Macaca fascicularis: one gene and its partner. The protein of the gene in region 1 interacts with the protein of each later gene in a biochemical or structural test. Links are inferred from orthologs where the notes say so. Each region holds a gene or a part of one and is shown on either strand. Other genes may lie near its edges.

What was found.
Region 2: the proteins of ELN (region 1) and LOX form a complex in vitro, tested with the Homo sapiens proteins (2 studies listed by BioGRID and IntAct). The link is inferred for Macaca fascicularis from reciprocal best matches to the Homo sapiens genes ELN and LOX.

The regions. Positions count from the first base shown.
Region 1 is NC_088377.1:52,947,899-52,951,706, forward strand, and holds part of ELN (elastin), read left to right. Parts: intron 1-782; coding exon 783-854; intron 855-939; coding exon 940-999; intron 1,000-1,248; coding exon 1,249-1,332; intron 1,333-3,429; coding exon 3,430-3,468; intron 3,469-3,678; coding exon 3,679-3,732; intron 3,733-3,808. UniProt on the Homo sapiens protein: Major structural protein of tissues such as aorta and nuchal ligament, which must expand rapidly and recover completely.
Region 2 is NC_088380.1:128,681,450-128,685,716, reverse strand, and holds the start of LOX (protein-lysine 6-oxidase), read left to right. Parts: upstream 1-1,174; 5' UTR 1,175-1,450; coding exon 1,451-2,081; intron 2,082-2,435; coding exon 2,436-2,544; intron 2,545-3,904; coding exon 3,905-4,042; intron 4,043-4,267. UniProt on the Homo sapiens protein: Responsible for the post-translational oxidative deamination of peptidyl lysine residues in precursors to fibrous collagen and elastin. Regulator of Ras expression. May play a role in tumor suppression. Plays a role in the aortic wall architecture.

The DNA of each region.
Region 1 (3,808 bases):
CCCCAGCCACTTCCTGCCCCTGAAGCCCTGAGCACACTGCTTAACCTCTGCTCTACCTCAGCATTCTCATCTGCAAAATGGGAATGACAATAGTGCCTACCTTTCCTGCTGCAATGCATAAAAAATGGGCTGCTAAGTGTGAAGCACTCAGAATGTTAAGTGCCTGCTGTAGATACTATTGCCATTGTTTGTTTGTTTGTTTTGACAGTCTTGCTCTGTCGCCCAGGCTGGAGTGCAGTGGTACGATCTCAGCTCACTGCAGCCTCCACCTCCCAGGTTCAAGCGATCCTCCTGCTTCAGTCTTCCAAATAGCTGGGATTACAGGCACGCACCACCACGCCTGGCTAATTTTTGTATTTTTAGTAGAGACCGGGTTTCACCATGTTGGCCAGGCTGGTCTCAAACTCCTGACCTCAGGTGATCCACTAGTCTCAGCCTCCCAAAGTGCTGGGATTACAGGCGTGAGCCACCGCACCCGGCCTACAATGGAACTTTTAAGGCTAGGCACAGCGGCTCACACCTTCGGGAGGCTAAGGCAGGAGGATCGCTTGAGCCCAGGAGTCGGAGGCTGCAATGAACTGATTGTACTACCGCACCCCAACCAGGGTGACAGAGCAAAACCCCATCTCAAAACAAAACAAAACAAGGACTGGACTTCCTGTCCGCTGCTCCTCCCCTGTGTCACATGGCCCCTGCCACCTGTCTGCTTGTGTTGTTGTTCCTGGGGCAGGGAGACCCATTGTTCAGAAATGGGCCACTCATCTTCTTTCCTCTCCACGCAGGAGCAGGAGTGCCTGGGGCCCTTGGAGGGGTCGGGGCTCTCGGTGGAGTAGGCATCCCAGGCGGTGTGGTGGGTGAGTTGAAACCCCAGGAGGGGCTGGCTGGGGAGAGAGGCTAATCAGTACTGAGTCCCTCCCTGAACTCGGTCTGTATTCCCAGGAGCCGGACCCGCCGCCGCAGCTGCTGCAGCCAAAGCTGCTGCCAAAGCCGCCCAGTTTGGTGAGCACTGGGTGGAGGTGGGAGCTGCTGCCAGACCCCCAGGCCCCCAGGGTATGGGAGGAGCCTCTGACCAGGCACTGTAGACTCAGACTTCCAGCCCCAGACACCTCCTGGCTCCACTGTGCCATCGAAGGCCGGGAGAGCTCAGGCTCCACCTGGGTCCCCAGAGGACACCTCCACCCTCCGCAGGCTGAGGCTTCAGTCCCACCTTTCTGACCGGCAGAGTCCAATGCTGAGCTCTCTCCACAGGCCTAGGGGGACCTGCTGGACTCGGAGTCGGAGGACTCGGAGTCGGAGGGCTTGGAGCCGTCCCAGGTGTTGGGGGCCTTGGAGGTAAGAGTTGTTCTGAATCAGTGAGTGCGTGGAGTGTGTGTGTGAGAGACAGAGATGGAGACAGAGACAGAGACTTTCTTTCCCAGCCCTGCCATATCTTTGCTCAAGACGTCCTCTCGGCCAGGTGCGGTGGCTCACACCTACAGTCCCAGCACTCTAGTAGGCCAAGGCGGGCGGATCACCTGAGGTCAGGAGTTTGAGACCAGCCTGTGTGACATGGTGAAACCTCATCTTTACCAAAAATACAAAAGTTAGCCGGGCGTGGTGGTGGGCGCCTGTATTCCCAGCTACTTGGGAGGCTGAGGCCAGAGGATCTCTTGAGCCCAGGAGGCGGAGGCTGCAGTGAGCTGAGATGGTACCACTGCATTCCAGCCTGTACAGCAAAAGTGAGACCCTGTTATAAAAAAAAAAAAAAAAAGAAAAAAGCAAAGAGGCCAGGTATGGTGGCTCATGCCTATAATCCCAGCACTTTGGGAGGCAGAGGTGGGTGGATCACCTGAGGTCAGGAGTTCGAGACCAGCCTGGCCAACATGGGCTCCAGCAACTCCACCAATGTCTCTACTAAAAATATAAAAATGAGCCGGGCATGGTGATGCATGCCTGTAATCCCAGCTACTCAGGAGCCTGAGACAGGAGAATCGCTTGAACCCAGGAGGCGGAGGTTGCAGTGAGCCGAGATCGTGCTGCTGCACTCCAGCCTGGGCAACAGAGCAAGACCTCATCTCAAAACAAAATAAAAACAAAAAATGTGGCAAATGGGAGCTGGGGCTATCCCTGGCTGCCAGGGTCCCAATCCTCTCCCTCTCCTCTCTCTTTCAACCCACATGACCACTGCGGTGGGAGTTGCCCATTCTCCAAGAAAGAAATCAAAGCTTGGAGAGAAATTGCTTTCCCTGGCCAAGAGCGGTGGCTCACACCTATAATCCCAGCACTTTGGGAGGCCAAGGCAGGTGGATCACGAGGTCAGGAGATCGAGACCATCCTGGGTAACTCGGTGAAACCCCGTCTCTACTAAAAATACAAAAAAATTAGCCGGGCACGGTGGCAGGCACCTGTAGTCCCAGCTACTCGGGAGGCTGAGGCAGGAGAATGGTGTAAACCTGGGAGGTGGAGCTTGTGGTGAGCTGAGATCCGGCCACTGCACTCCAGCCTGGGCGACAGAGCGAGACTCCGTCTCAAAAAACAAAAAAGAGAAAGAAATTGCTTTCCCTAAGTCTCCGCCATCGTGGCCGACTTTGCGTGGCCGTTTCCCCCTTTCTTGGGCTGTCATTGTGTCTCCCCCTCTAAACCGGCCTGCACAGCTCTTCCTGTGAGTTCCACAAGCCCACACACACAAGAGGAGCTTAACAATTAAGGACTTTTGGGGCCAGGCATGGTGGCTCATGCCTGTAATCCCAACACTTTGGGAGGCTTAGGTAGGTGGATTGCTTGAGGCCAGGAGTTTGAGACCAGCCTAGACAACATAGCAAGACCCTCCCCACCCCACCCCCAAGTCTACGAAATATTTAAAACTTAGCCGGGCGTGGTGTGTGCCTGTAGTTTCAGCTACTTGGGAGGCTGAGGCAGGAAGATCACTTGAACCTGGGAGTTCAGGGCTGCAGTGAGCTGTGATCGAGCCACTACATTCCAGCCTGGGCAACAGAGCAAGACCCTAGACAGATGAAGGAAAGATGGGGGGATAGCTACTGGGAGGATGAGTCCGTGGGCAGACGGTAAAGGGTGAGTAGGTCAGAAGACAGGGCCCAGCCAGGTGCGGTGGCTCACACCTGTAATCTCAGCATTTTGGGAGGCCAAGGCAGGTGGATCACCTGAGGTCAGGAGTTCAAGACCAGCCTGGCCAACATGGTGAAACCTGTCTCTACTAAAAATACAAAAATTAGCCAGGCACGGTGGTGGGTGCCTGTAATTCCAGCTACTTAGGAAGCAGAGGCAGGAGAATCGCTTGAACCTGGGAGGCTGAGGTTGCAGTGAGCCGAGATCACGCCACTGCACTCCAGCCTGGGCGACAGAGCGAGACTGCCTCAAAAAAAAAAAAAAAAAAGGAGACAGGGCCTGACAGGTGGCATTCCTGAGCTATCATGTGCCTCATCTCCCCAGGTGTGTCTCCAGCTGCAGCCGCCAAAGCAGCTAAATACGGTGAGTTCCCCTCTGAGGCCTTCCTGCCAGTGGCCTGCACCCCCTGCTATGCCCATCACCACCCTCCCCCAGCCCAGCTCAGGCCTCCCTCTGGCTCCCCCTACCCCTGAAGATCTTGTCTGGGACATCCCTTACCCCAGAACCCAGCAGGGATATCAGGGCCTCTTCCAGATGGGGGTGCTTGTCCTGACCCCACCTGCCTCTTCTCAGGTGCTGCTGGCCTTGGAGGTGTCCTAGGGGGTGCCGGGCAGTTCCCACTTGGAGGTAGGGGTGGCCAGCTCTGCTATGTAGTCCTCAGCTCTGTCCAGATCTAGAGAGGGCTGTCTGTCTAGCAGTGGGG
Region 2 (4,267 bases), on another chromosome or scaffold:
GAGTAGTAGTGTTAAATCAGACCATTTAGTAACCATTTTTTTTTTTTGTTGCGAGGTTTCTAGCACTGCCCAAACCCTGAGTGGTATATGAATAACTGGTCCATTATGTATCTCTTTCCAGTCAACATAATTTATCCCCTCCCTACCTATATTCTCTTCTGACCACTCCTACTTCCTTCTCTTTACCAAAATCTGAACTCTAAGGCTGTTTCTTCAGCAACTCCCTTGTTTAGATTGGAAGATAAATCAAACAGCAAGCGATGTTTTACTGACTTTCAGTATTTAACAGAGATGATTTAATTTTTTTTTAAACCAAAGTCAAACCTCTTTATAAATAAGATGAAGGAGAAAGATGTCTTATAAAATGCATATGTGAAGATGCCTTCTGAGTGCTTTCTCGTGCAGACTTGTTCTAGTCTTTAGTAAATCTTCCTTATAGACACTGTGGAGATGAACGATTGCTCTCCACTTCCACTCAAAGTACAAATCAGGCCGGCATTTTGAAAAAGAGACAGGTTTATTCATTGCTGCAGCGTTAGCTGGCTTTGTTCCCTGTAAAATTTCACTTTTGGTTATTAAAATATTCACTGTAGGAAATAAATTTGTAACCCATTTCTCATATTACCTACACACAGAAAAACAAAATTTGATATCCTGGGGTTTATTTGCTGAGGGCGCTTCCCATAAAAGCAAGTGAGTGTGCGTTGGGAAATGTGTCTGGTTAACTCTTCTATGGATAAACTTTAGTCACAATCCTCCCCCGCCCCCCTCTCGCCCCCAGCACCCTCCCAACCTCCCGACTTCCCGCCTCTCAAGGGCTGGTGACCTAATAGCATTTTTCTTCGTGCATATTTTGGCGTCGCCCCATGGCCTGGCTGCCTTCGCCTGTCTGAGTTTTTTGAAATTCCTGCATGTTCGCCCCAGATTAAGCCAGTGTGTCTCAGGATGTGTGTTCCGTTTTGTTCTTTCCCCTTAACGCTCCCTGTGCAACGTGTCTGGGGGGAGGAGGGCAGGGAGGGGAGAAAGGGAGGGGCAGAGGCGAGGAGCTGTCCGCCTTGCACGTTTCCAATCGCATTACGTGAACAAATAGCTGAGGGGCGGCCGGGCCAGAACGGCTTGTGTAACTTTGCAAACGTGCCAGAAAGTTTAAAATCACTCCTCCTTCCTTCACTCCAGACACTGCCCGCTCTCCGGGACTGCCGCGCCGCTCCCCGTTGCCTTCCAGGACTGAGAAAGGGGAAAGGGAAGGGTGCCACGTCCGAGAGCAGCCGTCTTGACTGGGGAAGGGTCTGAATCCCACCCTTGGCATTGCTTGGTGGAGACTGAGATACCCGTGCTCCGCTCGGCTCCTTGGTTGAAGATTTCTCCCTCCCTCACGTGATTTGAGCCCTGTTTTTATTTTCTCTGAGCCACGTCCTCCTCGAGCGGGGTCAATCTGGCAAAAGGAGTGATGCGCTTCGCCTGGACAGTGTTCCTGCTCGGGCCTTTGCAGCTCTGCGCGCTCGTGCGCTGCGCCCCGCCCGCCGCCGGCCAACAGCAGCCCCCGCGCGAGCCGCCGGCGGCTCCGGGAGCCTGGCGCCAGCAGATCCAATGGGAGAACAACGGGCAGGTGTTCAGCTTGCTGAGCCTGGGCTCACAGTACCAGCCTCAGCGCCGCCGGGACCCGGGCGCCGCCGTCCCCGGTGCCGCCAGCGCCTCCGCCCAGCAGCCCCGCACTCCGATCCTGCTGATCCGCGACAACCGCACCGCCGCGGCGCGGGCGCGGACGGCCGGCTCATCTGGAGTCACCGCCGGCCGCCCCAGGCCCACCGCCCGCCACTGGTTCCAAGCTGGCTACTCGACATCTGGAGCCCGCGAAGCTGGCGCCCCGCGCGCGGAGAACCAGACCGCGCCGGGAGATGTCCCTGAGCTCAGTAACCTGCAGCTGCCCAGCCGCGTGGACGGCATGGTGGGCGACGACCCGTACAACCCCTACAAGTACTCTGACGACAACCCTTATTACAACTACTACGATACTTATGAAAGGCCCAGACCTGGGGGCAGGTACCGGCCCGGATACGGCACTGGCTACTTCCAGTACGGTAAGTACCCCCAAGTCCGCTGGAACCACCCGTGCACCTGGTCCCCAGCTATGTGGCTTCTCGACGTGGCTGCCTGGGCGCGGCGGGCCCCGGTCCTCGCAGATCCAATCCCTCCCCCAACGCGCCTGCAGTGGCAGCCCTGGAATCTAGTGCAAACCGCGCGTCTGGCCCCTCCTGCTTCCTTTTCACATTGCTTTGCAGCCCCGGGAGTCCCCAGTTCTCTTGCTGCCCCCTGCTCCACTCTGCAGTCCCGGTGGGAGAAGGGTGAGGAGTAAGGGACCTAGAGGGGTAGGGAGTTGGAGCGGGGGGCGCCGGGTTGTTTCACTGCTGCGCCCGTCGCCTGCTGACGTTTAGGTCTCCCAGACCTGGTGGCCGACCCCTACTACATCCAGGCGTCCACGTACGTGCAGAAGATGTCCATGTACAACCTGAGATGCGCCGCGGAGGAAAACTGCCTGGCCAGGTACGGGCTGAGATGTCTGAGGCCCCGCTCCCCGGTCTTCCTTCAGGGGGCGCTCTGGTGCCTGCTTCTGACTGCTACTGTTCCGCGCAGACAAGTGTTAGGAAGTGGGACAAGAGCTGGGAAGTGGGACGTGACCTCCTGGGCATGCTGACCTGGACGGAGAGTTAATATTTTGAAGATTTCTGTGGGTTCTGTCTCAAACTGCAGCACGAATCAGAGAGGTGGCGCAAACCCTTATCCTGGAGACTGAAGTCTCATGCTCTTTTTCCAAGATACTTAAACTTGGGAGTCGATTGTTTCCAATCACTTTTCATAAAACAACTATACAGTAATTCAAAACATTGATTGTAATGAAGGGTGTGTTAATACCCCCTTAAAAGAATGGGGGCAAATTTGCCATCGTAGCCTCATTGGTAAAGACTAAGTTTTCCTCTTTTGTTTGAGACCACGATGAACTTGGTTGTTTCGGTATTACTTCAGCCAGAATAAGATCATGAGCAAGAGCTTTGTTCTTCCACTATTCTAAAATAAAATAGTAACTCTGAGATTGGGGTTCTCTGAGTTTACTGCTAGGAAACAGCAGAGGGAGCAAAATATGTTTTAATAAAAATTTAATCAAAAATGTAAAGTGTAAAATAAGGTCATCAATACCATCTGAACATATAGCCACACTAAATATATTAGTAGGAACACAGTAATGTTTATTTGTACATTTCTTCTACTTTGACCCTTTACAATTGTCAGGCTAAAGGAAGTGAAGACATCCAAGCTCATTTTCATTCCTGAGTCTTGCATCACTCACACCATTGAACTCCCTATGATGTTTTTACAGTACTGCCATTGTTTTGGGGTAGTGAAGTTACAAAATTATTAATTTAAATCTGGGTATGCTCTTCTAGAGTTATTTCCTCAGTTTGCAACTTATTAACTATTTTGAAAGTTTTGCTAAATTTGAAGTTCGTAATATCTGTGAATTATTTTTTATTGGGGGATTATTTCCACTTCAGTTTCACTCGTTCATATGATCAAACTTGAATTGATTCTAGACATAAAGTTTACTTCTGACATTTAGATTTTTAATGCTTATTTATTATGTTTTTACTGTTAAAATCTGTGGATTTCCATAGTTGTTATTCATTCACTTATTCACCAAATATTCATTGAGCTCTGACTGCTCCAAGACTGTTCTAGGAGCTTTTCAGCAATGAACCAAATAAACTAAATGCCCTGGCCTCTTGGAACTGATAGTCTAGCTGGGGAAGGAGGATTGTCACTACTATATAATGGAGGTTTTATTTGTAGTTTTGTCTTTAGTTAATATTCTATGAATATAATAATTTTTCTTTTTTCAAAATCACAGTACGGCATACAGGGCAGATGTCAGAGATTATGATCACAGGGTGCTGCTCAGATTTCCCCAAAGAGTGAAAAACCAAGGGACATCAGATTTCTTACCCAGCCGACCAAGATATTCCTGGGAATGGCACAGTTGTCACCAGTAAGTAAATGGGCCTCCTGAGTACTTTTGAGTTGCTTTTCAATTTTCGGGTGATTTTTGACATCACAAATGCAAGTCTTATTTCTTACCTAAAAGGAGAAAATTGCTATTATTTATATTTTGATTTTTTCTCTATGTAATTTGACATAACCCATCTACTACAGGATCCTGTTATCTTTTGAAATAGAAAATCTGAGGCCCAGCTTATTAAAGCTGTTGATAGGA